Medicago truncatula: one gene and its partner. The protein of the gene in region 2 interacts with the protein of the main gene of each other region in a biochemical or structural test. Links are inferred from orthologs where the notes say so. Each region holds a gene or a part of one and is shown on either strand. Other genes may lie near its edges. The genes, in order: two-component response regulator-like APRR9 and adagio protein 1.

Region 1 (16,237 bases), on a different chromosome or scaffold from region 2:
CCATGGTTTAATCGATATGATTAATCATCAAAGTCTTAAAATAGTTTAATAGCAAAATAAATAAATAATTAAGAAGAGATTAGCATGGGATGTTCATCATGCATACATGGTGATGGTGGACCATTTAATTGCTTTAATTTTGGACCCTTCTAGTGAGTAGTTAACTTCAAATAGCACTTGTGGTAGAGACGTTTGACATTAAAAGTTCCTTTTTTTGTCAGTTATTATTGAGTACCAACCCCTTCAATTCAATTAAGAGAGAGTTGAAGACCCCATAACTTTGTGGTTTCTCCTCTTCTCACCTTTGTTATCTTAAGACTCTCAATTTGCTCAAAATATATAAAAGGGGTAAACGACATATATTGTTTAGTTTAATTGGGAGATAATATAAAACTTCTGAAATTCTTGTTATGTCGGTTTTGTCTATATGTACATTTGGTTGAAGCAGGATCGGTCCTAAGACTTTTTTTATGACTAGGGCGAAATAATATTTTTAATCATTCCAATATTTTTGTTATTACATTTTTTGTTACAAAATATTTATTTATAATCAAAACAAATATATTTATATAGTATTAACTACTAAGTAAAAATAATAATTATAATGCCCTAAACAAATGGTGCCTTAGATTGCTGCCATTTCCGTCCACCCTCAGGGCCATCCCTGGGTTAAGGTTCCTAGTAATCAAACATACTATAGAGATCAATAAAATAGATTAAGTGTATTGTGAAAACACAAGCAAAGTAAACAAACTTGAAATATGATTGTTAAGAAGTACAAGCAATGAAATTGAAAAGCACTTACTTACACTTCAAACAACTTTTGGCACTGTTTTTTCCAAGGGGTCCCCTGATTGAGTGTATGTAATATTTGGCTCCTTGCATTTGTCCATTTTCTAAAGTACGTATTCTTTCTAATTTCTTCTTTAATTTTATCCACAAACTTAAAGTGCAGCAATTCTTTGAACGTGAGATTGAGTCCATAATTTTGAACTGCGCATTTCAAAATTTCAGGGGATAAGATCATTCAAGATATTAGCAAGTGAAGGAGATTTTTTTTATTTTATGAAAAAGGAATTGATTTTTATCTCCTGGCTTTTCTTATGCTAGCACTCTATTTAAAAATGGGGTGGCTCAATAATTGTTTTAAATTCACAAAGTTACATATTCTAAATTTTTTTAAGAAAAAAATATATGAAAATTACTTTCTGCAGGTGAGGATTTTGGTTTATTTTAGAAGTAAAAAAAAAAAAAAAAAACTTCTCATATTTTCCATACTATTATATTAATGTATATCAAAGAATCAATCAAGCAATAGAACATTCCAAAGACTTCCAGAATATTGATCAACGCAAATATCTTTTTACATCAAAAAAAATATCTTTAATTTGAAAAGATACATCTTTAAACTAAGTTAAGAGTGATACTGATAAGATCAAATTGAATTTACTCTTTAAATAATACTAGTGTGACATCTTCATCATGAACTTTAAAATGACTTCTTTTTTTAGGGGAACTTCAAAATAAATTGGCAAAGCCTTAAAAAGACATGCACATATTTTTAAAAATAATTGAAGTCCTAAAACATCAAGAAAAAGAGGAAGGATTTGTTCCAAAATATATTTTTTTCTTCCTGAATTTGAAATTCAAGTTGAAGAGTGTGTTGTTACATGATTGAATGTATTTAGTCATGTGCCAATAAAAATTTAGGTGAATAGTCTCACTCAAAGTTTTCATTGGGGCATGATATAAAGTTTCAAAGATTAGAGGAAGTTGAACTCTGTTTCTGTTGAACATGAATTTACTTCTTACTTACTAGACCAACCTCTATTCACTTTGTTCGAATTCGTTTATGAAAGAGTATAACTCTTTTTCATAATTGTTTCTTGTGATCAAGTAGTGCATTCTTCTCTGTATATAAAACAACTACACCATCCAATTAAGCTCATTCTGAATTTGATGCAGCCCTTATAAATAAGAAAGTTATTCTATGCGCCCCCACACTCCTCACAGGCCCCCAAAATTTTGAAAATGCCTCTGTAACTTCAGGGGGATCGGAAAATAACTTCCGATGCACCAAATTATGTTCCAAAAGAGTATGATTGTGAATTTACCAAGACTTCCCAACTTGTTTGTTCATCAATCTATCCGGTTCTTTGAATATCTAGTTGTTTTGAAATGTAGCACCAGCGTTCTATAATCAAAATATCGGATAGATTGATGAACAAACGGGTATGGCACTCAGATAGTAAATTAGAATATCTAGTCTCGATTTTAATAGTTATGAGCACAGATCGACTACCAGGGGCACATAGATCAACAAGCCTAACAAGTATTTGAGACTTGAGATATTGGAGAATTTGAAACTTGTTTCGCATAATTTGGAACTTGTTATACAAAACAAAACAAAAATTGGTATAAGAGTTGTACAAAACTTTGAATGAGAATATATTGTGTTGAACACTTGAACCATTTTGTAAGAAACTTGTTGGATAATTGATGTTGTATAATATTTTATCACCAATAAACAAAATACAATTAACCGGTTGCTGTAAACACAAACAGAGTCATACTAATATGATATTGTACAAGAAGCTCCAACATTACATGATAAATCAGCGAGACCTAATAAGTACACAAATCCTTAAAAAAAAAATTAAATAATGAGACACGACAATCTCTATAAAACTATATAAAATTACAACTGTATATCAGGTTATTATTAAATATATATCAGGATCTAGAGGAAAGGCAAAAAAAGAAAAATGGTTTTACACAGCATATACAGATCAAGTGGTTTTGGTACTTAAGAAGTCAAGGAAACAAAATTTTGAAGCAACTAATGCTAACAAAGCACACTATCCTCTCCACTAAGTCACATATCTGCTAATGTAATAATCAGTATTCTTAGCAATCTTTTTCTCCAGAAAGAGAATCAGGATTCGGTTGGCGAACAAATTGTCCTTTAACTCGAGGACGCTGCTCTGCTAGTTTCTTTCTGCTCTCATATCGAACCTGTTAAAAAGTATAAATAAGTTAGCATAATATGAAAACAATGATGATCATTGATCTTACTTGTATAATTACAAGCTCATATTGATGTTGATATTGATATACCTTCTTCTCATAACATCTCTCTTTTCGTTTCAAACGGAACTTGTTTAGAGCTGCTTCTCGTAGCATAGCTCGATGTGAATATCCACTGTTTGTGAGTTCTTCATTCTTTCCCTCTGAAACTGCTGCTGTTCTGAAAGTGGCAACTTGTTCAACATTGCCACTACTTCCACAATTACTTCCATAACCAATGCTGTTAAAATTGCTGGCATTTCCATTATTACAAAAACTACTGGATACACTTTGATCAGTTGTAGGGGAGATAAGTCTTTGATCCTCTGGATGTTCTGACTTGTGTTCCTGTGTATACATAATTTGGTTTGGAGTACTGTTTCCATTTGGACCGCGAGGTTCGTAAAGCTGCTCTGAATTATTTTGTTTAACATTTGACTGATAAAATGCATCTGCTTGAAAGTTTTGTTCGAGAAACACAACTGAACCGGGCATTGATGGTGGACCTGATTGTGTACGAAACCCTGGTGGAAGTGTTGAACCATAGGCCATACAAAGATCATTGAACCTTACACCTTTCACAGGAATTGGGAGAGAATGCCTTTGCTGGGAATGTGAAGTTGCAAGTTCAGATTCTTTTTGCATACTTGGTATTGAACTATCTGAGTTATGGTTCTCATTATTTGTTTTTTGTTCTCTTGGTTGATCAGAGAAGTTAATTACTACGGCAGGTGATGCTTGCAATTGCCTATTAGTATACCTGCATGAATGGAACACCGTTTCAGTGATAAGCATGCAGAATTCAACAGAGTGGAGAAGTCATAGAGACCACAAGTACAAAATTCATACACTTTCTATCTTCATCCTTATAATGTTCTGAAGTTCTTCAGACTCATCACTAAGATTACAACAATTTTTAACTACACGGAAAGGAAAAAATTAGAATAAAAAGGGATTTAGCAATTACCGCTTGAAAGCTGAAGCATTAGAATGCATAAGGGTGTGCCTTTCTTCGGTGAGATCCTTCTCAAAGTTGCTGGGATGAGAGCTTCTGAGAGAAAGATCCAACTGTGGAGAATGGTCAAACTTGCCTGTGCAATCAATTGATGAATTTTTGAGACTGCAATTCGGATCAGTACGAAATGCTCCAATCAAGTCAATAGCTTCCTTAGTAGTAGAGTAAATTTGAACATAGTGATTGTCATGAACCTCACCACTGATGCTAGCATTCCTAAAATGCTCTTGATCATCTCCGTCCTTGCAATTATTTGCACCTGTCTCTCCATTTTTACAGTTATTTGTGCTTGCCACTCCATTATTGCAGTTAGCCACGCTTAATCCTAAAAATAAAAGTTTGTTCAAATTTTAGATAGTTCTTCCTTGTGAGTCGAACAAAATGATATTGCTGTGAAAGAAAGAAATTTACCTCCGGCGTGACTGTCCTGCGCGATCACAGCCTGGCCTAAATGAATGTCAAGTTCTCGTGTCTTTATTTCACTTGGATATGCTTCCGCACATTTCAGCTGAGAAAATTCATGCATGTTATCAACCAGGCCACTCTCAGCTTCCATGTTTGGCCTTGTACAAGAGCTCTGTGCGTCACTTCCTTTCTCAATTAAGTCCTTATTCCTTTGAATGCAAGCAGCATCACCACCAGAACGATTACTAGCAGCGTTGTTTTCAGCAGTGGCTTCAAACTTCTGTTGTGTATCACTTTCATCTTGAGGGCCATTTATGCCAGCGGTTGCGGCTGACTGCTGATAGAGTAAACAAATAATAAACATAAGTTCAACCAATTTTGTTAATAAATTCTTAGTATTTTAGGGAAAAACTGAAAACGAACTGAAAATTGAGAGAGCAGAAGTCCTACTGTTTGTCTTCTCCAAACATGTTGCCACAAATTCCTTAGTTCATTTATTCGAATTGGCTTAACAAGATAGTCAGCTGCACCTCTCAACATGCATTTGTATACTGTGCTAACTGAATCTTGCGACGACATCACTGGAAAAGCATGAAAAAAATACAAAACAATTAATATAAGTATTAATAAGGAAAAAAATTGACAAGCAGAAAGAAAATTTATCTTTAATATCATACTTATGACAGGGATGCTTTTGCAAATATCATGCTCCATAATTAATGTGAGAAGTGCATAGCCGGATATGGCTGGCAAATCGACTTCTGTAAGTATTAGATCAATACTGCGCGGTCTTCCTTTGAGTATTTCCCATGCCTTCAAGCCATCAGCAACAGCAGCAACTGCTCAAAACAGATCAAAGTTATTTTGAAGTTCTAGAGCTTAGATTTACTTTCAAGTACACTAATTTTGTTTTTCAAATTACAACACAACCAAGATAAAAAAACTCAATAATATAAAATCATAATGGCAGATAAAAATTGAAAATAAATTGAATAATTGTACCAAGTTTATGGCTTAGCCTAGTAATTTCCATACTGCTATAAGACTCTATTTCAAGGTGCCATAAATTCCTAAGATTTTCAGCTAACAAAATCCATGTCACTTTAAACCAAGTTGCTTGGGCTCCAATGGCAAGGAGCTCCTTCCAAGGACGTATCCGGGGAATACCGGGTTCGATTCCCGGGGGGAACAACGCTTGGCAAGTGCCCATGCCTCTACGCATGAGCCGGATTAGTCGCTCACCAGTGGGTCGGAAACCGGTGCAAAAGCCAAAAAAAAAATCCATGTCACTTCTCTGTAAAAAAATCTACATGATTTTTTACATTTTTTCTCATGAGTTAAAATTTATCAAACCATATTAAAAACAAAATGTCTTCAATTAATTAGTGCACACAAATTTTGTTTTCCATCCCCTTAATTTTTATCTTTATTTATTAAATCAGCAAAATCTACAAATCTATCAGTACACCCTTGAGCCTTGATCCTTTCCAAAATTTGCAGTCCAAAAACTTCTAAATTTATAATTACTAGTAAGCTTTTTCCCCCTGTTTTTGTCATGTGTCAAATATATACTCTTAATTAACAACAACTCAGCCTCAATATAACCCAATATTCACAATTAATTAAATCAAAGTTTACACTAAAAAAATATGAATTTGCACACAAGAAAAATTGAAAATTGAGAATACTTACAGAAAATTAAATAACCAATTAAACACAAAACAATATTACAAAAACATCAGCTTGTACAATAAAATAATAATAATAATAATAGAAATAGTACCTTTATAGTTGCATTTTCTAAGAAGTGCTGTTATAATCTGTCTTGTACAATCATCAGCTTCAACCAAAAGCACCCTCAAAACCATTTTTGGCAAGAATTTCTCCCACCTCATAAGCCCTTTCATTTCACCACCACCACCAGCACCTCTACTCTCAGTTCCTCCGCTCCCTTCTTCTTCCCTCACCTTCTCTTCTTCTTCTTCCACTCTCACTATTTTCTCACCACTCATTACAACCTCACCCATGTTGTTGTTTATTGGATCCAAAGACAAGAATCAGCGTATAGCATCAGAATCTTTGTTCAAGAAAACAAAACCTTAGCACACAACAAAAATATCCAATTTGGAAGGTGAAAAATAAAAGAAAGTAAGAAGAAAGAAAAAAAGCAATATATTGTATATATATGGATATTGTACAAGATTTTTTAAGGTAATAGAGTTTGATCTAATGGTACAGATTGTGACACCAAAGGTAACAAGGTTCTAATCCAACGGTTATAAAATATATTCTTTTAGCACAAAATATCTAGAAACCATGCAGACACTGGCCCACATGGTCCACGTCATCAACTAGATCTATAAAGAAATAAACCCGTGGTTGGTGCTGCTGTATTAGTGGTGGATATCATTTCAATCACTCATTTATTCAATTTATTCAAACTATTTTTGTGCTTTAATTGTTTGGTTATAACTTTCTCTTGAATTCCAAGTTGTGTCCAAATGGAAAATATCAAGGGGATATTTTTGTATGAGGGACAATTCGGAATGCACATGGACCCATTTGGAGAAAGATATTAATTTTTTTAATCCAAAAAAATGAAGATATTTTTGAGTGCTTTGAGGCTGTCCAAGAATCCCATGGACAATAGTGATACACGTGGCAATTTAGTTGAGGATGTCTTGTTTTGTGGCTTTGAAGTCGTCGAACTCTATCTATGTCTTCACAAATCACATGCTGCGGGCAGATGTTGGCTACTCGCTCTTTTATAGGTCAATATATATCATCTATCAAAATTTGACTTGCAAAATAGTAAAAGAAGTGATAACATGTGTTATTAATTCTCGTCATATATCACATACTTGATAAAGACAATGCATAATATACGTAAAGTCATGTTAACCAGTGTCCGGGTTAAGGAAACCGAAAAAAGTAAGTTTTAAGATAAAAATAACATTTTTTATGTTTTTGAAAACTTGACAACGCAAGTTCCAATGCAATACTTACTACATTTCACTTCTTAACCAGTGTGTCGGAGGCACCGATTAACATTACCTATGTATGTATGGAAGGGTCAGAATTTGAATGTTAGACTCATTTATTTTTTAGTCATCAGATCATCCAACAAAAAAACTCATGATAAGAAATTTGAAGTGAAAATTTCATTTTAGAAATTGTGTCTATTTATCTTTTAAAAAGTTGTAATTTATTTTTTCCCAATAAATAATGTTATTGGAAATCGAACTTAACTCAAAATTTTCTTATGCTTTTGTCCCAAACGAAGTTAAATATTTAAGATTGTTGCCAAAATTATAGAAGCATGTGTGAAAGGAAAAAAAAAAACAATTGAAAAACAATGAGAAACATGCTGAGGAAACCCAAGAGATGGAAATGGATACTTTTCAAACGAAAGCAAGTTTTTATGTTATGTTAGTTGAGAGATGGAAATGGAAATGGAAATGGATACTATCAAAGGGAAAAGTTAGTTGATTTGTTGAGGTTTAAAAAACAATGTATCAAATGATGGTAAAGGATCTCAAATAAGAAGTTCATCAACAGTTAGTAAAGGCTTTTTTATATACAAGTGCCACTCCTTTCAATTATAATAGTAATGTGGAGTTTGCAAGAATTGTCTGAGATGATTGAAACGTATAATTGACTACAAAAGCTTAAAAGAAGATTCGGTGATCAAATAAGTTCAAATTGAGAACCGGCCATTTGATTTAATTCAGATTCAAATTGAAATAAATTGAGTACTCAAATGAGCACAATTGGTACATCTTGTATGAAGTTTCATCAGGTTAATCTGTTCAGAGACTCATACATATTTTTGTGACAGCATCAATTTATGGATACCATAAAAAAGATGCTCGATACAGGTGGAAAAAAACTCAAATGAGTAGTTGACTAGCATATATATAAAATGCTTTAGTTAAGCAGCGAGGAGCCTGTTTGGATAAGCTTATTTTGAGCTTATACAAAACAGCTTATACAAAAATAAGCTTTTATATATTATTTACAAGTTTGTTAAGGTATTTTGTGAAAAAAAAAAACAGTTTATGAAGATAAAATTCTCGTTAGTAAGAGCTTATAAATTAAAATAAAAACTTAATTATTTACATAAATCATTTTTCATAAACACAAAATAAGCTAAATCCAAACCGGCCCTAAGGGAGGCGATCTCTCAGTATACAAATGGATTACATAGACCCGAACTTCGTGTTAATGCTAATAATCCCTTGTAAAATAGATTTGTACACATCATAATTACTTTTTTTTGTCATGTATGTGACAACATTTTTTCAATTGATATGATGCCATGTTTCACACCTATTGTTCTGTTTTATTTTCTCAAACCATTTCAATATGATAGAAACAAATTATTGATTAAAAATTTCGAACAAGAAACTGGGACGAGAACGGTGACACCACTTGCACCATTGACATTAATACATAAGAAATATTATGATTATGAGTTCAAACTCTCGTAATTGATGTAAAATAAAAATAAAAAAACTTGCCGGTGCTATCATGTACTCCCTCTGTCCCTATATCTAATAACCCTTTTATTAGAGGCAAAGGATGCTTACATATAGGAACGGATACATTAATACATAAGAAATATTATGATTATGAGTTCAAACTCACTGCTAGTATCGTAATTGATGTAAAATAAAAATAAAAAAACTTGTCGGTGCTATCATGTACTCCCTCCGTCCCTATATCTAAAAACCCTTTTATTAGAGGCAAAGGGTGCTTACATATAGGGACGGATGGAGTATAAACCAAAGTGAAAATTTCCAGCATGACCAAAAGAACGCAAATTGGTAATTCGCTTGCATGATAGTAGTTTGATAAATTACTTTGGCCAACAACATATCAGTCAAAAGGAAGCCTATATTACATTTAGTTTCATGAGCTCTTCTCACGTACACACTAACTAACTTCTGTTTAGATAATTTTAACAACGCATTTCAATAATGCATTCAAACATAACTAGCACTAAAGTCCACATCAATACGTACTCGATTCCAACCATGTTAGAGATGTCACAAGGCCTATATTTACTTGTTTCACGAACGTTTGGGAAGTGTATATGGCACATGCTTATCCTCACAAATAGCCTGAAAATGGGCATATAAGAAAATAAATAAATAAATAAATAAACAAAGTTCAACATACAACAGTAATTCAGTGTAAACTGTTCGATAGGCTGATACAAGAGAAAGGCAAAAAAAAATGTTTTTTGTGTATCAGGCAGCTTTGCACAAATGTGAGCAAAACTTTTATTTTGTTATACAAGTTGAGCAACACTGACTTCTTCATACTTCATAATAGAACAAACAACTGATTGCAAAAATAACCTAATCTTAGTTGCCATGGCCAAACATTATAACCACTTGAGCATTTAATGAAAATCTCAACTCAGAAGGCAACGGTGTTTCACATAACACATCCTGTGTGTTTAGAGCTTCCCTAAATTTTTAACACCTTTGCAAAAGACAAAGAATAAACTGCCAACTATTTTATATCCGACCAGGTAAATTAATGGATAAAAGCACAGCCTAGGGGGAAATCCCCAAAAAAAAATACTTAAAGTTAAATTATGGTTTTTGAGAGAGTGGCATAAAAAAAGAGGTGCACAATCTTATACTTGAAAAGAGACAACTATGTAATAACAAAAACAAAGTCCCTTATCAAAAATAATAGTAATGTATGCTGAATCTATATTACACAAATAGAAAAATACAAACCTGCATATCGTCTGGAAGAGCCTCTGAGACAGCAAGAGTGTAAACACCAGGAACAAATTTTCCTGCAACATATAAGAAAAACTTTAATTTCCACATCTCAGTTGTGTGCAAGATTTCAAACTTCAATCTAGATAGAGATTCTAAAAAAGAAAAATTAAACGGCACTTCACAGTTGAAAGAAAAAAATAAACAAAGAAGATAAACTTCAAATGAAAAAAACACCACAACAATTTCTCTATCTCTATAATAATATACACATTTAGCTCACACAAATGAAAATTCTCTCCAGGTGCCACTCACTAAATTACATCACCAGTTTTTAATTCAGAGGTACTAATTTACATGTTTTGAATCAACCCCAATCTCTTTCTCTGGCACCATTCTTTATAACAAAAAAGGAAAAGCTTCTCACTTGCTCGTTTTTTTTTTTCAAAATTCAAATTTAACTGGTACAATTTATATCACATTCCTCTTCTATCCATCTCTTTGCTCTCCGCCCATCTCTCACTCCTCTGCTCAGTGCCCATCTTCCATAATCAAAACATTGTATAACCTACATCTAAAACGTAGCCTCTTCTTCAAAACAGACTAAGAAAATGGGGTTCTTGACTGTAAATGGAAAATCTTAACAGCAACTAAGGTTTATGATTTTGACTGTGACTCTTTATTTCTATATAGATTTCAATTGTGACTTTGTGATTTTCTGCAGCTGTAGACATTGTGTGAGCTTTATTGTAGCCGGGCTTAGATGGCATGTACTCTATCCTTGTCTTAACATATGAACAAATCGCTGTCTCCACATTCTCATCTCAACTTTCCTGAAATGATGAAATTGTGAGATTGACGGCGAATGACTAACTCTTTAGTCTTTTTCTTCTCATTTTAGTGCTAATTGTGAGATTGTATGTAAGTTCATTTGATTTGGATTTAATTTGATACTCAAAATGTGCACTCACAGGGTGTTTTTGAAAATGTCTTACAACAGGAAATGGAGGGAAAATGTAAACAGCCAAGCATGAAGCTTTCAAATGATATGCTTTTATATTGTTTATGCTTTTTTTTTCCTTTGAATGTATAGACATGTTTAAGGAGTTTGTCAGATACAACCACTAAATGTTTATATACTCCTTCCTTATTAGACATTATTGGCAAAATCTTTGAATGTGATTTCATGTTAGAATTTGGGCAGAGCTTACAAAACTGGCTTGTAAGGTGAGGGGTGTCAGTCTATATACTAATGATCTAGGATAGCTCTAATACCATAATAAGTACTAGAGATTTCTGCCATCAAGAACGATGAGAATAATATGGAAAATTACTGGACTTAAAAACCAGAGGATCTTAAGACTGCAAGGGTGCACGAATAGAAAAACAGAGACGGTAGCTTCAGACAATGAGTGAAGAGCAAGGGTTTGCTGGATAGAATTGATAAAGACTCTGCATCAGACAAACGACCTCGAAAACAGGTTGAAGAGGCGCCCACGAGATGACCTGAACCGACAGCTTCTTGATCAAAACGATTTACGACGGCAAGTGGCCAATACGTGCCGAAAAGTCTGACGGATTGTTATGGCGAGTGGGAACTTCTTCGGCGACGAAACTTCAGAGGGTGACAGATCAGAGCCTTATAGTGACAAAGCCACCACGTGTGTCTAGTGTAGTGGGTGGCAGACCAGACTTTAAAAGAAAATTAAAAAGTATAACTAGCGTGACCAAGCTTTGAATACGATCTTGAATGAATTGCTTATGAGTATCAGAAATCTCATAAATTAACACCACGAGAGTATATAACGTACTATTCACCTAAACATTAAACAGTACTTTAATCTTCGTCAGCTAGAATAAATTTCATAATTAAATTTTGTATTCCTCTTTCTAGGACCTTACTTGAACCCTTTAACCAAAAGGTTGAAACTGCAAAGCATTACCATAACTCAACACATGTAATACATTGATTTGGTTGTGGTTGAGTTGCAATTTGATACTCATAGTATATGCACCATAACAAGAAGATGTGAATGCGAGACAGCAGTAAGTGGAATGCTTTTGAATAATCACTTTGTGATTACCAATTCGTTCAACGGCATTCGACATAATGTTGTTTCTCATATATGCTTCTTATAAGGATATCAAATTGCAACTCAACCACAATCAAAGTTAATGTTTTGTAGTTTCTACCTTTTAGTTAAATGGTCAAGTAAGGTCCAAGAAGGAGGAAGAGTGCAAAATTTAATTATGAAACTTATTACCATATATAAGTATTATTCAATGTTTAGGTGAATAGTATGTTGTTTACACTCATGGTGTTTAAAAGGAGTTAAAGAACATTCTACTCACTTAAACATTCCACGTAACTTAATTTTTGTTAGTTACAAATAAATTTCATAATTAAATCTTGCATTCCTCTTTCTAGGACCTTACTTGAACCCTTTAACCAAAAGGTTGAAACTGCAAGGCATTACCACAACTCAACACATGTAATCCATAAATTTGGTTGTGGTTGAGTTGCAATTTGGTATCCATAGTAGACGTGAATGAGAGACAACGATATGTAGAATGTTTTTGAATAATGACTTTGTGATTGCCAATTCGTACAACGGCATTCCACATAATGCTGTCTCCCATTCGTATCTGCTTCTAAAGTAGTGCATCTACTATGGATATCAAATTGCAACTCAACCACAATCAAAGTTATGGATTACATGTGTTGGAGTTATGGTAATGTTTTGTAGTTTCTACATTTTGGCTAAAAGATCGAGTAAGGGCCTGGAAGGAGGAAGAATACGAAATTTAATAATGAAATTTGTAATTGTTATTGACAAAAATTAAGTATTATTTAATGTTTAGGTTAATAGTATGTTCTCTACTCTTGTGGTGTTAATTTATGAGGTTTTTGGTATCTCATAAGCAACCCAAACAATTGATTTAAAAAAATATAAAATTAATTTTGTTAAATAACTACTATGAATGGAAAACATGGAATTGGTAGCACAACATTTGCTTTAGCTTTTTGTAATGAAGGTTATGTCTGCATCGATCTAGAAAAGGTGTGTATGTTGATCTCTATGTACTAAGTTAAACCTAGAAAAAGTGTGTATTCTGATCTCTACATAAAAAGTTTGATCATGCTATTCTTAATATCAATATGTATTGTCGAGATTAACCACATCCAATATGTTTTGTAAATGTCTTGCAAAAACTACTATACTAACTAAAGACCATATAGTAGTATCAAAAAACTAAAGACCATATTGTGTTTTACAATATCGTTTTCTTTACCTATTGTTGTTGCAATTTTTCTATAATGTAAAATAATGAATTCTAATTTGGTATTAACTGTGAGAAACTTAAATTTATATCGCTATTTGATGTTATCTCATGAATTTGTTTAGACTTATTCATGTAATTTTAAATAATTGTTCAGTTTTTTATTGTTACTATGTTAGTAATCGTAGAGTATCACCCATCCATTTGCACGGGTGTATGACTAGTTGTATATTGCAAAGTAATGCTATCATCATAATACTGTAAAGGGAAAGAGAACTAAAAGGCAATGGGCAAGACATATTATAATAAGCATTACAATAGATAAATGGACATACCAATGCGCAACCAACGGGCGGCCCAGCTTCGAGTTGGATCCATTACAGAAATGATCCTGAAAATCAAAATGAAGAAGAAAACATGACATTCAGAAGCTTCAAAGGTGATTAGGGTTTTGATGTAAATAGATATGACACGGACATACCCATTAAAATTGGGGGTGGTGCATTCAACAGCACGCTCTTGATCTTCTTCCATCTGTAAAAATGGGCAGTTCTCACATCCTGACTCCCTAAACTGCAAATCAGAAAACAGGGATTATTTTTATTTATGTAAAACAAAATCAGTGTATGTTTGGCTATGCGGTGACTAAAATTGAATTTGAGTGTATTGATTCTGTAAAATTGATTGTTAAAAGCGAGTTGAAGGTAAAAGTAATTGAACAAAAAATTTGTATAAAAATCAATTCTATGATCAAACGCTACAAATTATAGCTTCAAGTAGAATTGATTCTACTTGACCGCAACCAAAAATGTCAGAATCAATTATAGACCTCTAGAATAAATTGGGCACCCTGAGAGGAGAACCAAACATATACTAAGACTAGTGAGAGAAAAGGAAGGACAGTAAGACCTGATCGTAGGTTTTGACAAGGCGGCAACGAAGACAAGCCCTCAATTCATGTCCAAAGCTTGTAGGGATTTGAGCAGGTGCACTTGCCATTGTTTTTCAACACACTGTTTGAACTGATTGTTAGATAAGAAAAAAAACAAAAATTATAATAAGAAGCGAAATTCCAATAATCTCTCTTAATTAATATAAGAAGAGAAGATGTTGTGGAAATCCTATTAATGCCCCAGCCTGGTTAATTGACAAATCACCAAAGTAAGGGTAAAATCTGTCTTTAACTTACTTTATTCAACCAAATTACCACAATTAACTAAGATGATGTCATATAACTACAAATAACTAATAGTTTAGTTCATTTGCTCTTCATAAAGTCATTTCCATTTGATGCCAACTAAATAAATCCGATTAGTTATACAAAATATATTCATTAGTTATACAAAAAAGCAAATAAGAAGAGATAGAGGGATGAGCAGCTGATTCTGAGAGTGAGAGAATTGAGAATATGGTTTAGTATCAGTTTGGTTTTATTTTTTTAAATATATATATATATATATATATATATATAACGACGTGTTTTTTTACAAGATATAAAAACGTGTTGTTACATTAATTAATGAATATTAAAATTTATTTATTTTTTATATTCATAAAAACATAAGATAAATATATTTCATTGTTACATAAAAATAACGGTAAAACATTGATCGTTTGATACGTACAACATATCAAAGAGAGTCGTAGAAAAAGAGTGATGTGTATAGATTTGAAGTGAGGCAGTAATAGACGAGGTATAAATAGTTAAGAGACAAGTTTTAAAAAAGATTGATAAAATATATTATACAAGGGTCAACTCATCACTTCAGAATTTTAAAATAATTGTTGTAAACGAGACAAGTTGTCACTTCGCAAAATTTTTAAAAAATTATTATAAACAAGACATACTGATATAAATTTTAAAATAAGTATTGAACATATTTTGGTAGTGGTCGGAGTTTGAACCCCGGACCTTTGGATATATTATGCATTATCCAAACCAACCAAGTTAAGCTCACGAGGACATAAGTATTGAACATATGATTTGTCATCTCATCACTGATATATATTATAAAATAATTATTATACACGAGACAAGAGATACATTGATATATATTATTAAACATTATTCTTCTTCCTTCAAAAAAACATTATTCTCCTTTTTTTTCAAACCATAACGTAAGTGAAAAACTAACTTAAAAAAATAATAGAATTATACGCAGCATTTGTTATCATTGAGTATAAATTCAAAATAATTATAACACAAAGAGACAAGTTTTAGCCGATATGAATTTTAAGATAATTATTAACCATGTCACATGTCATCACTGATAGATAGATATATATATATATATATATATATATATATATATTATAAAATATTTATTATACATGAAACAAGTTGTTATTGTTAACTTAAAAAAAACTTTAATAATTATTATTAAGGCGAAATTGTCACTGATACAAATCTACTAACATCTACTTCTTCTAACAATATCTAAAAAACGAAGTCCAGCAAAATAAATAAATTAATCTATAGTTATCAGTGGAAATTAGTTATACACGACCATTGTCTGTAATTAATTTTTTTAAAAAAATTAGTACATAATAAACAAGTTGTCGCTCATATAAATTTCAAAATAATTATTAACCATGTGACATGTCATCACTTATATATATTATAAAATATTTTTGTAGGGATTATATTGTAAAATATTTATTATACACGAAATAAGTTGTCATTGTTAACTTTAAAAATTATTATTATACATGGGCGAAGTCGTCGCTAATA
Region 2 (16,306 bases):
TAACATACTCCATATTATCTATCACATTATTTATTTATTTATTTAAGGGAAATATATACAAACTGCAGCGTCCTCTACCTTGTACACCTGTTTGTAATGGGGCAAATTACTACACCCAATTATGACCATGTCAGCTGACTCATGTTCAAAAGCACAAAACAGAAGTAGAAACTTCCATACATACAAATACCATAGACCTAATACATTACTATGTATGAACATGCATTTTTTTTCCTGTCCTTTGTCACGGTTCAAATTACATAATTAGAAAAAGACAATACATGGGAAAAACTATCCTAATATACTCCCTAATTGTTATCAGACACTATTAATCTATTCAGGAAGAACAATTCATTGAGCATACAGAAGGGCGAAGTTTCATACAACCTCAAAAAACATCAAACATAGTATTGTGTCACTCGTTGGAAAAGTTCTTCTCGAACCAGAACCAATCACAATCACAGTACCATAAAATGCATTGTCGAAAGGACTTAATACACAAACGTTCTGACCAGAGCAATGCTTGTCAAGATTGTCAGTGACCAACAAATGCCTTTGCCGCCAAATCTGCTCAAAATGATTTTACAACATGAGCATTCCCTTCACTGCAGCATACAATTTATTCACTGGACTAGATGACAGAATTTGCCAATGAAAGTTCATGCAAATCACTTAACATCCATTCCTCCCCAGTTTGACCGCCCAGAACAATAGCTCTTGTCCCTCCAACAACACATGTACTATGTCCCCAAGCAAATCTTGGAGGACGCCCAGGTACATTTAGGATTCTCCATGTAGGCTTCTCGTCAGTTGGATCAAGTATGTAAAGCTGGGAGGCAGAATGAAGGCCTGCAACAGACCCACCAAAAATCAATATTCTACCACCTGGAAGGCTAACAGCCACGTGATCAAGTCTGGGAGGAGGAGCTATGCCTTCAGGATTGCCAGCACCAGGCATTCCACTCCCTGTTACACATCTCCAGCATGGTTCGTCCTCACTTAAATCCATCGTGAACACATCACTTGACCGGAAACGCAAGGGCCCACTCTTGGCCAGACCCCCAAACATCAGAATTTTCCTACCACCATAAACAGATAGTGTGTGGCCCAAACGGGAAGGCGGTGTCCATGTGACTGGTATCTCCCTCCAGACAGGGTTTTCCATTGACATATCAAGGAGGAAAGTATCACTCAAAAGTACTCCAGAATCAGCACAGCCGCCGGAAACTATCAACTTAGTACCATCAAGAGTACAGGAGCTATGCCATGATCTTGGAAGCGGAGGTGCCAATCCAGAAATTTCACGCCAAGTTGGAGGGGTTGCATCCAAGTCCAGAACAAACACATCATTTAGCAAGCCCTGTGTTCCACAGCCTCCAAATACAACCAAACGAGAACCATTAACACAAGAAAGTGTGTGGCCCCACCGACCAGGGGGAGGTGAGCTAACCTGGACATGTTGCCATTCAGGATTATTAGAATTGAGATCCAATACAAAGGTGTCATTCATGGGTTGCATATTAACCCCTTCACCACCAAATAGGACAACTCTATTTCCAACTGCACAAGCACTAAAATTGCAGCGTGAGGGTTCAACCCCACCTCCAACAGTCAGTTTCCTCCATGCTGCTGCTTCAAGAGTGGTCAGTTCCCTTGCTAATCGACCCCATCCAAGCCTCTTTGCACCAGGAACAGTCTCCAAAACACGAGTAGTTTCACTACCCCATGCATTTTGGCATACCATTCTCCAAAGGTCTTCATTTCTTGTTACTTCATACAATCGCGTACAAACAGAACTAACCGATGCAATGTCTCTTGGAGTTAAGCGAGCAAGGATCTTGAGAGACAATACCTCATCACTCAATTGAAATATCCCACATATTCCACGACTCACATTCCGATCCCCCAATGGAGGAGGTTGCAATGAGGAAAGCACCGAGTGAAACCGACCAGACGATTTAAGAGATTCCTTAATTGTAGAACCGGGAAGAGGACCAAGATCAATGTTTGCCTCTGTGAATAACTGAATTCCAATGACATGTGTTATTTCATCATCTTCTCCATATATAGGTGTCAACCTCAGTCTGTTCATAAGCGGAGATCCATCTTTCCTGAAGTTCAGCAATTCACCTTGAAATTCAACACCTTCGTCAATACATTTTCTAATTTCTGAAATTACTGATGAGTCCACCAATGGATGCCTTCTCTTAGCGAATGGACCTCGACACTGCAAGAAACGGCTGCAAAATAATTTTAAATGATTAGAATAAACCCACATTGGATTAAGCACCAAACAAGAGAGACTCAATCAAGCATGGAAATGTTACAAAGGCACAACATGTAATGTTTCATAAAGAGTGCTCGATTGCCTTCTTTTCTTTCCATTATTACTTGATGCGTGCACAGATTATTCATTCTACTACCTTAAGAAAATTACTTCAAAATCATAACATAGACATAGGCTTCTGTCTACACAAACTTCCAATCAAGTGTGATTAGAATAATTGCACATTGGATTAAGCACCAAACAATAGAGACTCAATCAAGTGTGGTATGTTACAAAGGGACAACAGTATTGCTTATTTTTTCAAATATAGTGTTCTTTTGCCTTCTTTTCTTTCCATTATTTCCTTGATGCAGGGCAGAGGTTATTCATTTTACTGCCTGAAGAACATCATTTCAAATTATAACATATACACAAACTGCTAAACCACCTCAGTCCCAATGAGCTACAAGGTAAGATTTAATAAAGTAAATTCTGTTTTAACACCACAACTACCCCTCAGCATTTGGCCCTTCTTTGCATCTCTTTGTGTGAACAAAAAAAAAAAACTGTAGAAGGAAGATGAGGGAGAAAATGAATCTACAGATGAATTGCTGTGAAGAAACTATGTGCGCTTCTTAGCTGTGAAACTTGGATCAGTTTTGAATCAATCTTTAGCATAATACAAGTAAACCCAAACCCGCCATTATTATTAAGAACAAAAAAAATAAAGTCGATCATTCTTAATGACTTCACATTTCACACAACCAAACACAAATTATCGCTAAATATCTCCTCTTAATTATCAACAACATTCTAGTATGATACAACCTAAGATCACATCCTTCAAGGAATTCATATAATCATAACATTATACAATAATGATGCTGCTGCTAGGTCATTTTGCATAAGCACAAGTGAGCAAGAGCCATTGCATCAATGCAGGGTGTCGTTTAAATCAGTAAAATTCTCACATTGAAGTGAAGAGGGATAGGTAAATAAAAATCCCACGAATAAAATTCATTAAGCTTAGTCAATCATGAAAGAAAACAACCTCCATATTATTGGTGCATATGTGATATATGCCAAAAAAATTACACACATACACGTAATTATATATATATATATATATATATATATATATAACTTCTTTATCTGATTATTGATTTAAATTTGACTGTTAAATATTTTGTGAAGCAGTATAGTTTTAATGAGATTCATTGTGTTATTTTATTATTGGTTTACTACTGCTACTATTTTATTGTAAAAAACTAAGGGATGAAAGGCGCAATTTAATCGATTGTGCTTTTTTTGCAGTGGGCCTTCCGGACTTAAATGGTGTCTCTGACAGGTGCAGCAGCTTCAAAAAGCAGCAAAACATGAGTGGTGGCCAGAAAACCTAGATATTTGTGTCCAAAAAAATGTAGATCAGACCAGAATCTTTCTTTTATCTCCTTCCCCTCCCTCCCTCCCTGGCGTGGTTTGATGTGCCATGAACTCCCTAGTAACGCCTGTACCCTTTATGTGTGACACACCAGGCCTCACAGTGGCGGCCAGTCACTGTTCCACGCCGCACCAGTGCAATCACGATGCAAAATGCCACCATTGACTACCTAGGTTTAATAAAAGGAAAGACTGGAGAAAAAAAAAAGGAAAAAGAAGATAAAGACAGAAGAACAAGCTAAAAGCAAATTGTTGTGGTGTGGTCCAAGCTCAACGCAACTGCATTCACTGTAATTCTCATGGATATAGGCGATTTTCAGTTGTTGTTCAAAGGAATTAACAAGCTAACCGAAACCCAAGGGAGTGACAGTAGAAACTATTGCAACATTGTAAAGCAGTTATCCAACAGTTCAAATAAATATTTATCTTCTCAACAATGAATCCTGGAGGAATGATTTTTGTTTACAAAAACCATTCAACATTGTAAAGCAGTTATCCAACAGTTCAAATAAATATTTATCTTCTCAACAATGGATCCTGGAGGAATGATTTTTGTTTACAAAAACCATTCAACCTGAAGAATTTTTTCTAGTAGATTGCAGCCTTGAGGACAAGGTTGTTTTGAGGAGGGGTGTGTTGTTAGGATATTGGATAAGGACAAGTATGTTAGGGTATGAGATAAGGAGTTAGTTAGGAAAGTTATTAGTTAATTAGGTAATTGGGATTATCTTGTCTTATTAATAGGGAGGTTATGGAATTAGAGAGGGTATCATTGAATATTGTAAACTTCTGTAAATAGAGTTGGAATTCTATTGTTGAAGGGGGGGCCTTGGAGGAGAGTTTTCTCTCCTATTCTTTTCTATTTTCATAATGAAATTGTCTTTTTCATTCAATACAATTTATGGGTTCCCAACAGTCTCGCATCCTACATTTAACATACGCCAATTTTATTAATGGTCTCGATCAAATTATCAATACCACATCAACTATCTTATTTTCCTTTTAGTTAAAATGAAAATAACTCCCTCAAACTATAGGTCATCTGCAAATACGCCTTATGTGGTTCAAACTTGAAAGTAACCAACTCAAGTGCCTATTTCCCTTCCCAAAATTGAGGTCATAAACCCTTCTCCTAACTTCTATTCAAACCACTAACTGAAGGAAAAAAATCTTCAACCTCAAAACCAGAATACTACACCCTAAGCCTTCTAACCACCTTACCTAAGAAATCCCGAATACAAAATCTCCTCGTTCATTCACTCTATCTCTTCTCAATCTCAGATCCTCTTTCTAATTTAAGTACACGAGAATCATGTAGGGGGAAAAATCAACATCCAGAACCTAGAGCGTTGTTCCTCTCAACAGACTATAGTACCCAACTCAAGACCCAAAAGCATTATGCAATCACCAGAATCCTTGACAAACATGTTCACAAACCTCCAGTCCAAGTCCATTGGTTCTGACTTCTGATTGCAGCAAATAGTATCTAGGTTGATGTCAGATGCTTGGTACATCTGAGTTTCAGTGGCTTCCATGGGTTGTGACTTGTGAGATGGTGATAACAAGATGATGCATCTGGAGTCTAGTCATGTATCTGATTTGGGTGTTCAAGATGGACGAACAGCAAATTCATAGATAGACAGATGAGGACCAGCGGTTTGGGATTGAAGTTTACCAGTGCAGTGCAGTCCTTGATCAAAGGGAATGCCATTCTGTATCAAATGGATTAGTGCTCTACCAAATTATGGTTTTGTTTATAGTCTATCTGTGAGGGGAATCACTGAGGTTGGAATGACTAAAAAAAAATTATTTTTTTTTTTTTTTGGGAAGGGTTTAGTTTATGCTCCTTGTATCTGGATATTCCCTGTTGTGGGAGTGGATGATCAGTAGAAGAGCTTTCTGATTTTGTTTGAGGCTACAATGAAGGCTTGATAAGCATTCGCAAATTGTGATGGAGTTTGGAGTAATATCCGAGTCGATAAAGTTCAGAATCTTGGCCAAACTTGACCCCAAAGACTGCCTCCAGAGTTGAGGATTGCTCAAGTCTTTAGTAAGAGAGGTTTGAATATACTTCCTTAGTCAGTCTAGGATCTTAACACACGCTACTCATGGCCAGGACAAGATATCTCTAGAGTGTGAAGTTTGTAACACTGGACATCTACAGGTGACCTGATATCAGATTTGGTGTAGATTTTAGTATCATATAAAATCTGGGCCTAATTCAACTCAAAAAGCTAACTCAAAGGATAAAGATTGCTCAGGTTCTTATAAGAAATGTTTTGGTGATATAACTAATCAGATGTGAGATCTAAACAAAGATTTTGGGTGAGGTTAGGATGAACACTGAGTTTCGTAGGTTGTAGGGTTTTCTTAGTTGGCTCATTGAGTTTTCTCAAGTTCCACAGGTTTATGGTAGAAATTAGTTTTTAAATTCCTATGATGTAACGTTAACAGAACAGGGCATACATTTTTAGAAGCGTAAATTGTCACCTTGGTGACTTATAAATCACACTAGAGCTATTTAAGCTTTGTTTGCAAGTTTGGAGAGGAAGGGAAGGAAAGGCTTGGAAAAAGGAAGGAGCAAGTGGAAGAAATGGAGGACATTGGAAGGAGGGGCTTTGGAGGGCTTATTTTTCTTCAAAATATAAAACCCTCCTCAGTTGGGGGAACTAAAAAATTGTATTGGAGGAGGATTTTGGAGGGTTTATATGAATTCTTCAAATTTAATATAGGTATAATATTCATAAAATTAAAAACATTAATCATAAGCATTAATTTATCACTCTCTAAAAAAATACTCTTTCAAAAAATGTGAAAGATTTCTCAATTTTCCCCTATATTTCTCTCCCCCCAAAGCCTTTCCTTCCCCTCCCCTCCAAACTCCCAAACAAAGCCTTAAGAAATTATTATCTATAGTCCATCAAAGTATTGAACTCAGTTATACTTCTTCTCCAATGACAGTGCTCCTAAATAGAGAAATTATAACAACTTCCACAATATACTACAGAACCTAGATATTGTTTATCTGGGAAGCATCAATGCTTTAAAATGGTTGCAGATCAATGTCAGGTATGTGTTGTACAATGTATAAAACACCTCATGTTTTTTTGGATATTTCTTACCTATAAATTTTTTGAATTTTTAAATCAATACAAGTCGGATACCACGATTAAATAGATGATAGTATTTTATTTTGTCCCAAACGATAAAACTAACTTCAAAAACATTGGTGTCTGACTCTAGTTTATGTCCTACAAATTTAGTCGACGTGTCGCATATCTTCTTCACCCATGGTTCCAAAGATTGTCAACAACTCAAACTTAATACTACTTGCCATATTACTCCCAACTAAAGCTAATACAAAACACATCCTATCAAAAAACATATTGCACAACCATATTTCCTCTCACTACTCGGCACTCACTTGTAGCAATAAACATCAGAAGCAATCACCACTCATAACCAACAATTTTTTAATAAAGAGAAGTTTCGGTAGAAGTTAGATAAAAAGACATAACACCGACACTTCAGATAAAGGCATCTTCAGTCCCCGACACCAAAACAACCTTAACCCATATGTTTACATTCAATCACTTCCATTTTCTCAAATTATTACCAATATCATGTCAGATGTCCGTGTATGTGCCAGTGCTTCATAATTCCCACCACCAACATTTTCTATTACACAAAATCTTTTATTTTGGTAAACAAAAGATGTCTTCTGTATGCAACTGCAGAAACTAATCCCCTCGAGGTAATTGACATCCATTTAAGGAATCTACAGTAGCTAAAGGGTCTGTTTGGCAAGACCCGTTTTGTAGCTTATAGTTTATGTCTTATAGGCTCATTTGACTAAAAAAGACCAGTTTGGTAATTGTCACTTTCACTAGCTTACCGCGCTTTTTGATAAGCTAATTCAAGTAGCTTATAGCTTATCATTATTTATCTCAATTTTACCCTTCTAATCTTAATTTTACCAAACATTACAAATTCAATCAGCTAGTTTATCCACTATCAGCTACAAGTCAGCTTATCAGTTATCTGTTATAAGCTAGTTAATCCGTTGTTCGCTATTTTTTACCAAAAATATACTTATTGCAACTCTAGCAGTTAAAATAACTACCACCAAACCACATAATCAAATTCCCGGTACAGATTTCAACAATTGAAGAAATGAAAAGATTTCTAATTTGAACAATTTTACAACACACAAAAAAGGTACTAAAACCTAGGGTTTCAATCAAACATATAAAAAAAAAAGTAAAAATACAAAATCACAAAACTAAACCTAAACCTAAACAAAAGCATCACTAAATAAAGCAAATAATTAATTAATCCAAAATTAAATTAAATAAAAAAAAAATAAGAATAATAGAATAAAGGACGTACCAGTTACGACCGAGAACTTCTTCAGCGCGATAACCAGTAAGCATCTCAAAAACGGCGTTGACGTAGATAATAGGGTGATCAGGATCGAGTGCATCGGTGACGACGAAGCCACACGGTGCGGTTTGAAGAACAGGGAAAGGAAGTGGTCCAACGTCGTCGTTTAGGAGAAAAGAGGATGAAACGGCGTCGTCTTCGTCTCCACTTAGATCGGAATTACTGTCCCACTCCATCGGGAAATTGAATCGATTGTGTTAAAGTTCAAGTTCAGGTTCAACCCATAGGGATGAAGATGAAGATGAAGATGATGAATGAAACGGTGCGTTTTGGAATTGGTGTTGGAAATTGAGAATACGTGTGAATTGTGATTGATGTAGTAATAAGTGTTGATTGTGTTAGTAGTGGAAAATGGAGATTGAGAAGAGGAAAAATGAGTGGAGAGGAATAATAGGGTAAGAAAAAGGGTGGAGGGTTAAGACAGGTTTGTTTGAGGGGAAAATGAAAAAAGATGACTGTGTTTAGTTTCGTTTTTAACATGTGGGCTGTATGGATGGAGTTTAACATGGACAGTGGGTACTCACCGCCTTTCTTTTCTTTGCTTACAAATATCTCAACATAATGGTTATTCTTCCCGGGTAAGTCCAACATGTAATGAATAACTATAAGGGAGTGTTTGTTTCAAGGTTAAGAATGACATTTCCGGGAATACATGGCTAGGGAATGATTATACCCATGTTTGTTATGAGGTTGAGAAAAAAATATTCCTGGGTATAAAGGTTCCTGGGAATGGAGTAACTTCCCATAACTTCCATTATTCCCATGAATATATTCTCATGTAAAGAGATGGGAATGTGCATTCCCATGATATTATGCATAGATTTAAAAAAAAAATTGTAACTTCCAATTTTTCCAGAAATGTCAAGTTATTTGTCAAACACTTTTTTTAACAAATACCCAAGAATCAAATTTTAATATTTTCATTCCCGGGTATGTTATTCCTGGGAATAATTTGTGTTTCCCAAAAACAAACGCCCCCTAATAGTTTGTTAATGTATCGAAATTTCAAAAGAGGAAATGTTAACTAGTGCCTCCGCCCCGGAGCACTGGTTAAGGATTTTAAATAGTACTGTAACTTTTTATAAAAGTTTGTGTAATCAATGCATTGAAAATTGAAAACTTTTAAATTGAGTGAATACCCAAATTCGTCCCTGGATTTGCACGAATCGGCCAAAAATGTCCCCCAATTAGTCGAAATGCACGCTTAGTCCCTGAATTTAACAAACGTCAATCAAATTAGTCCCTACGTCCATTTGGGGCGTTAACGGTGATGACGTGGTTGTTAACATCTCAGACGGGATGCCATGTCAGACGCCACATAAGCAGCGACTAAATTGATGTATAATGACAAAAAAATTCAAGGACGAAATTGATTGATTTCAAAAAATATTTTCTAATACAGTCCCTATTAATTTTTACTTGCTATCAAATTGATCCTGAATTATTTCAAAAAAACGTCAAATAAGTCCTTGAATTATATAAACATATTTCCAAGTTGATCCTTGATGCATATATTTGCAGCAAACGAATTAAAAATGACAAAACACACAACTTCATCCTTGAAAATATCATTAAATAAGTCATATCTCTGAAGTTTGAAATATTACATAGGCAAAAACAACTCAACTATAAGTCATATCTCATAAGTCATAAGTCATAAAGGATGTTTTTAAATATTACATAGACAAAAAGAACCCAACTAGAGGGCATAATGTAAACAAAGCAAAATATTCCAAAAAGCACAATCTAAGCATGCATCAAGCTTCACTTCTTTGGAAAGCCGGGGGTTGGGATAAACTCCATGAACATAGGTTGACTTGAACCGGATGGACCATAACTTGGATATGGCACTCGAACAATGTCAGGTGCAGGACCCCTCACTGGTGTTTGCTTAGGTCTCTCATTTGAAATAACTGGACCTCTAATGCCATACCTCTTTGCAGGAACACACTGCAACAACAATTTCAATCATATCAGTCCCTATTTAATAAAAAATTCAATCAAATTAGTCCCTGAATTTCTACACTTACTAGAAAATCGATCTTTAGAATCTAACATTCATACCTGTCTAAGCACTGCTTCATTTGCAACACCATTGACATCATTTTGTCCCTGAATTGCAACATTTCCAACACTGGCATTTTGTGCAGCTTGTCCATCATTTCCAGCTACAACATGTCCAGGATTAACATTTCCAACATTTTCTGCAGCACCTCCACCATTTTCAGCAACGTGATTTTCTGCATTTCCTGGTACATTTCCAACATTTTCTGCATTCTCTCCAACATTTTCCTCTTCTGGCTCAGTATCAATCCAATTTTTTGGTCTCCTAGCAACACCTTGCTTATTACATCCTCTTAAGTTATGACCAATCAATCCACACCTTCCACATTGAGTGTCATTGTAAGTCCTCTTCATTTGACTCCCACCAACAGGTTTCTCATTGCCATCTTTTCTCCTGTTCTTCTTTGGTCTTCCTGCAGCCCTTCTCACCTTTGGTGGCACAGGTTTTTCATAAGGAGTTGGTTCCCAATATATTTGAGAATTCACTAGTTGGATAAAGTAGTTATAAGTTGCCCTATATGATCCAAGGGTCAACCAAGCATGGAAAACAAACAGGAACGGCGTTACCTTTTGAAATGACGAAATCTTCTATCAAAACTGATTCTTTTGCAACGTTCCTCGCCGGAGATGATGTTGATGAAGATGATGAAGGGTTAGGGGGGAAGAAGAACGGTCAGGGATGTTTTTGATGGAATGGCTGAAATGTGATCATGAAAAGGTATAGATATTACAAGGGTAAATTTGGAAAAGCAGGAAAAATTGAATTCAAAAGTACAATTGAAATTTTGTGTGTTTCAATCAAATTCGTCCTTGTACACGTGTACAAGACAACAAGTCATGCAGGAAGACAACTCAGCACCACTAACGGTGCATTTGGACGGAAGGACTAATTTGATTGACGTTTGTTAAATTCAGGGACTAAGCGTGCATTTCGACTAATTGGGGGACGTTTTTGGCCGATTCGTGCAAATCCAGGGACGAATTTGGGTATTCACTCCTTTTAAATTTTAAAAGAATAATTACTGTATGGCTTAATTCATGTTTTGGTCCCTTAACTTATTTTTGAATTTCATTTTAGTCCCTTAACTTTAAACTATCTCAATTTGGTCCCATAATTTTACCTCTGTTTACCCAGTTGGTTCCTTCTGTTAGTTTTTTACAAAAAACGTTAACTTTGTCCAAGTATGCTCTCCACGTGGGCCTATCATTAGATTACATGGCAAACCTTGTCAGCAATATAAAAGGGGAAAGATTGGTGAAAATTAGGGTTTTTTTTCCTCTTTCATTATTCCTCTTCTTCTCCATCGTGACCTTCCTTCTCCTTCTTCCACCATTCTTTTTCTTCTTCATTCTCCATATTTTCACCCAGAATTTCGAACCACACAACACCTTCACCTAAAATGTCGAACCAGACATCAAAAACTCAGTAAGTTCATGAACAATCATATGCATTTGGATATGTTGGGTCTAATTTGAGAAGAAGGGTAGTACCAAATCGTAGGTGTGGAGAAACAGTTGTAATTCAAACTGTAACTGATGCATTGAATCGTAATTTTGGGAAGAAATTATGGTGTTGTAGAAACTACAGGAATTCGAGTGACAAAGGATGCAGCTACTTTAAGTTAGTTGATGAAGATGATGTTATGGATGAAAGAGATTTGTTCATTGAAAAACAAAAGGATTAATAGGTCTTTATCCCCCTACAATATAGGTCACTTTTGGTTTTCCCCCATGTAAATTTTTTTTGTCAGATTCCGTCCTTGTAAATTTTTTTTGTTTTGGAAAACCCCATGGGACAGCTAACTGTGCATTTTCGCTGATGTGGCACGCTGAGTGTATAATTTTTATTTATTTTTTATTTTTTATTGTGCACACGTGGCATTTGTGATTTTTTTTAAAAAAAAATTAATAAGAATGAAAACAAATGCTGAAAAAATACTGGAAAAAAATTTAAAAAATAGAAAAATTCTAGAAAAGTTTATAAAAATAAAAAAAAATCTGATAAAATACCGGAAAAAGTAAAAAAAATCTGGAAAAATAAAAAAAGTTTATCTGATTTTTTTTATTTTTTATTTTTCTAGATTTTTTCGTTTTTTTATTTTAATTTTTTTTCCGGTATTTTTTTATTTTTTCAGCATTTTTTTTCGTTTTTTTAAAAAAAAAATAACAAATGCCACGTGTACAAAATAAAAATTATACAGTTAGTGTGCCACGTCATCAGAAAACGGTGACTCAGCGTGTCACATCAGCAAAAATGCACAGTCAGCTAGCCTAGGGGGTTTTTTCAAAACAAAAAAAATTACAAGGACGGAATCTGACAAAAAAAATTTACAGGGGTGAAAACCAAAAGTGACCTATATTGCAGGGGATAAAGACCTATTAACTCTTAGTTTGCAAAACCACATCCATTTTGAGTGGATTTTATTTGAAATAGGAACAATGATGTATTTTGAATTTTAGGAACAACTTTGTAATTTGAGTGGATGAGTGAATTAGTTGGTTTTGTTATGAATGTAATGTTTAGGTTGATTATAACATAATGGATGTAATGTGTTTGATGAATGAATGTAAAGTGTTGAGTATGATGAATGAATGCAATAGTTTGAATGAATTGTGCATTGTTGATGTTCATTTTAAGCATGTTGAGTTGCATAATGGTATAACAGGAACAATTAAGTTGAGTTGTATAATGCTATAACAGAAGCTGTATTATAACATTTCCAAATTATAAGATGCAAAAGTGCCTAATAGCACATCATTCCATTAAATTCATAAGTGCAATTACAACACATAATTAATCAAACTAGTTGCAATGTTACAACACTAAGTGCTTGACAGTTAAAAAGTGCATACACATTGAACACCAAAAACAAAGTGAAGTGTGCTTAATATCAGTCAATAGCACATATTACATTCAAAAAGACTACTTAATACCAGTTAACCAAAAAGACATTCAAAAGTGCTTAATAGTGCATATTACATTCAAAAAGACTTCTAATGCTTAATTTCTAAGGCTGAGATGAAAATCCTGCCTTCCTTGACATCTTCTTTCCTTTCTTTTGTGTTGGTTGAGTTGCAGCAACATCAGACACATTCACATACTTTCTTTTCCTTGGTGATCTCAAATTTTTTCTGAATTGGTGGTTGAGATGATTGTGTCTGAGCTGGGTGTGCCTTTGACTGAGAAGCTTGTGTCAAAGATGCTTGTGTCTGAGATGGTGTTTGAGACACATTCACAGTCTTTCTCCTCCTAGGTGATCTAATTTTCTTCTGTATATTTGGTTGAAATTAGTGTGTCTGTGACTGAGAAGCTTGTTGATGAGAAGCATGTGCAAGGTGTGGCTGAGATGATTGTGACTGAGATGATGGTGGTGGAGGTGGTGGGCACGTTGACTTGTTGTGTCCAGTTTGCTTGCACCTACTACATTTAATCTCATAAGAAGCTCACTTCATTTGTAAGTTATCTCTCATCAGCTCACTTGTATCCATTCTCCTCTTCTTTTTAGGTCTCCCTGGTTGGCTTTTCACAAGTGGTGGTTGAAGGTCAGTGCAGTCTGTCGATCTTGGCCATTGATAGGGAAAATGATGCTGGAATAACATGCAGCATATTGCTCTTTTTTTAAAATTGATGGCACATAGTCAGCTATCCTATAATTTTTGTGTTTCATGCAAGAAATGGCATGACAAAATGGTAGTCCTGTCAACAACCATTTCCTACAATCACACACTTTGTCCAACAAGTTGACATCATACTTGTCTCCAGTGCTTGACATATATATAACTTGGAAATCATGATCTCCACTTTGCCTACATTAAGATTAACAAGATGGTTACATTATGCAATTTAAATATCACCAGATGAATTAAAAATCAAGATTCTTTATCATTATATTAATACCTGACTTACCAATTATTGGTATAAGAAGATTCCTTTTCTAGCTTTTTCTTGATATTTGGCAGAACTTCACCGTCAGCATACTTAGCAATTTTCTCCCTATTGATCTGTCACCTTTACATGACATACACTCTAATATCCTTCAACATAGATACAACTGGCTTGGACCTTGGAACAACAATAACAGAATTGAAGGCCTCTGATATGTTATTCACTAGTGTGTCACACTTTGTATCACCCTTGAACATTGCCTTAGTTCGATGCCTTGGTTCAATTTCACACAGATACTTAAAAGCTTCCTCACTAATCTTCTTGATTCCATCATTTCCCTCTCAAATGCATTTCTGTAGGTTGCCTTTGCAGCCCTCCACATTAACTCTTTCAGCTTTTTCCCAAGAAATCTCTTCCTAAAGTTGTTGTAGAGGTGTCTGACACAAAACCTCTGCTCAACTCCAGGAAGCAATTTATCAATTGCTAGCAAAGGTCCCTGTTTAACATAATACATTTCAAAAAAACAACACTTAAAATTAATTTATGCAATTAAAGACAAGTAATTGAACATATTAAAGAAAAATGAATAGTTAGTTTACCTTTTGCTGATCACTTATTATAGTATAAGTTTTGCGCAGTCTGGTGCCACCAAAATCAGCTATGAGAAGCTCCAAAAACCATTCCCATGATTCTTTAGTCTCTCCTTCCACAAGAGCATATGCAATTGGAAGTATTTGGTCATTAGGATCCATTCCAATTGCAGCCAATAACATTCCACCATAAGGGGTCTTAAGAAAACACCCATCCAAACAAATAATGGGTCTGCAGTTGAAGAAATTATCCCTAAACCCCTTAAAACACACATACATTCTCTGAAAGTGAGGACAAACTATGGCATTAGGATTCTCTATGTCAGCCTCAGTACCTACATAAGGGGTGCTAGTAATGGATACAGAAGATTCTGTGTTGGATCTAAGTAATTCTTTGTCATAGTCATGTAACCTTCTATATTGATCTCTAAAGCTACCTTCCACAAATTCAGCTGCCAAATTCTTTGCCCTATAAGCTTTGCTTCTGTTGACACATGTCGCGTCATTTTTCGGAGATCAAGCTATTTTATTAGCATAAACTCGCTATTTTTATTTCCCGACTGAACTTTTAATTTTTTTTCAAAAGAAAGTGGAAAAAGGTTCAAATACCACATTTTTAAGATTAAGGGTTCGGGGGTTGGGTATATTTAGGGAAGGTATTAGCACCCTAAATATTCGTAGTATTCTACGAGAACCTCTTGATTTTATTCAACTTTTGTGCTATAACTTGTTTGTTTTTAAAGAGATGAAAATAGAATTGAATGATGAGTTAAAAAGAAAAAGAAAATCGATTTTAGTTGATTTGGAAGGACATGGTCCTTTGCCTATGTACCCGTGAGGGATCAAAACCTCGTACTTCGGGGTAGAAATTGACGTTTGATTGGTTTTGTGTTTTTTATTAGTCTTTGAAAAAGTTTTAAAATAAAAGGCCAAGTGGCAAATAAGAATTGGTTTGTGTTTTTAATATTGAAGAAAATTGACTCAAAGTTGAATTAAATTGATTGAAAGTTTGATTAAGAAAAATAAAAATAACGATCACTTGATTGAAAATTAAGGTTTATTATGAAAATATTTTTGTGATTTTTGTTATTTGAATGTTTTTGTTGTTTTTGAATAATGAATGAAAATTAGACTGACGGAGCAATAAAAATAAAAGCGCGTGAATTTCTGTAGTGACGTTGAATCACCACATAATCCCTAACCTAATTTTTTTGCATTTTTTTTATATATAAAGCGGTAAAGAAAATAAAAGACACACGTGCGCGCACACACACGCACACACTTTTTTTCATTTATATTGTACATTGGCCCTAAGTACATTCTAATTCTTGAGTAAAAATAAAATGACGAAAATTAAAATGCATGAGTGAATAGAATGTAAGACGATGACTTTAAACTAATAAAGAAAATGAAATGCGAGGCAAAATAGAAATGCAAAAAGAAATTAAAATGCATGAATAAAAAAAAAGATGAGATGCAAGGGGGTATAAACAGTAACAAGGGGGTGCAGTAATGAAAAAAAGAAATTGGGCTTTGTAAGATGACAGAGGCGCGCGTTGGGCCTCATGGTCGGTTTTAGGCCGGTTCAGATCGGTTTAAAGGCCGAACCAGTTCGGT

The links.
Region 1: the proteins of adagio protein 1 (region 2) and two-component response regulator-like APRR9 form a complex in vitro, tested with the Arabidopsis thaliana proteins (3 studies listed by BioGRID). The link is inferred for Medicago truncatula from reciprocal best matches to the Arabidopsis thaliana genes ZTL and PRR5.

What each region holds. Positions count from the first base shown.
Region 1 is NC_053044.1:45,862,970-45,879,206, reverse strand, and holds two-component response regulator-like APRR9, read right to left. Parts: upstream 6,651-16,237; 5' UTR 6,514-6,650; coding exon 6,270-6,513; intron 5,326-6,269; coding exon 5,164-5,325; intron 5,068-5,163; coding exon 4,937-5,067; intron 4,824-4,936; coding exon 4,493-4,823; intron 4,407-4,492; coding exon 4,034-4,406; intron 3,827-4,033; coding exon 3,118-3,826; intron 3,016-3,117; coding exon 2,908-3,015; 3' UTR 2,534-2,907; downstream 1-2,533. Other genes in the region: transcription elongation factor SPT4 homolog 2, read right to left, coding at 9,559-9,609, 10,240-10,301, 13,842-13,897, 13,988-14,079, 14,416-14,505. UniProt on the Arabidopsis thaliana protein: Transcriptional repressor of CCA1 and LHY, thereby controlling photoperiodic flowering response. Involved in the positive and negative feedback loops of the circadian clock. With RVE8, forms a negative feedback loop of the circadian clock.
Region 2 is NC_053043.1:15,927,283-15,943,588, forward strand, and holds adagio protein 1, read right to left. Parts: upstream 8,636-16,306; 5' UTR 8,326-8,635; coding exon 8,096-8,325; intron 2,241-8,095; coding exon 632-2,240; 3' UTR 15-631; downstream 1-14. UniProt on the Arabidopsis thaliana protein: Component of an E3 ubiquitin ligase complex that plays a central role in blue light-dependent circadian cycles.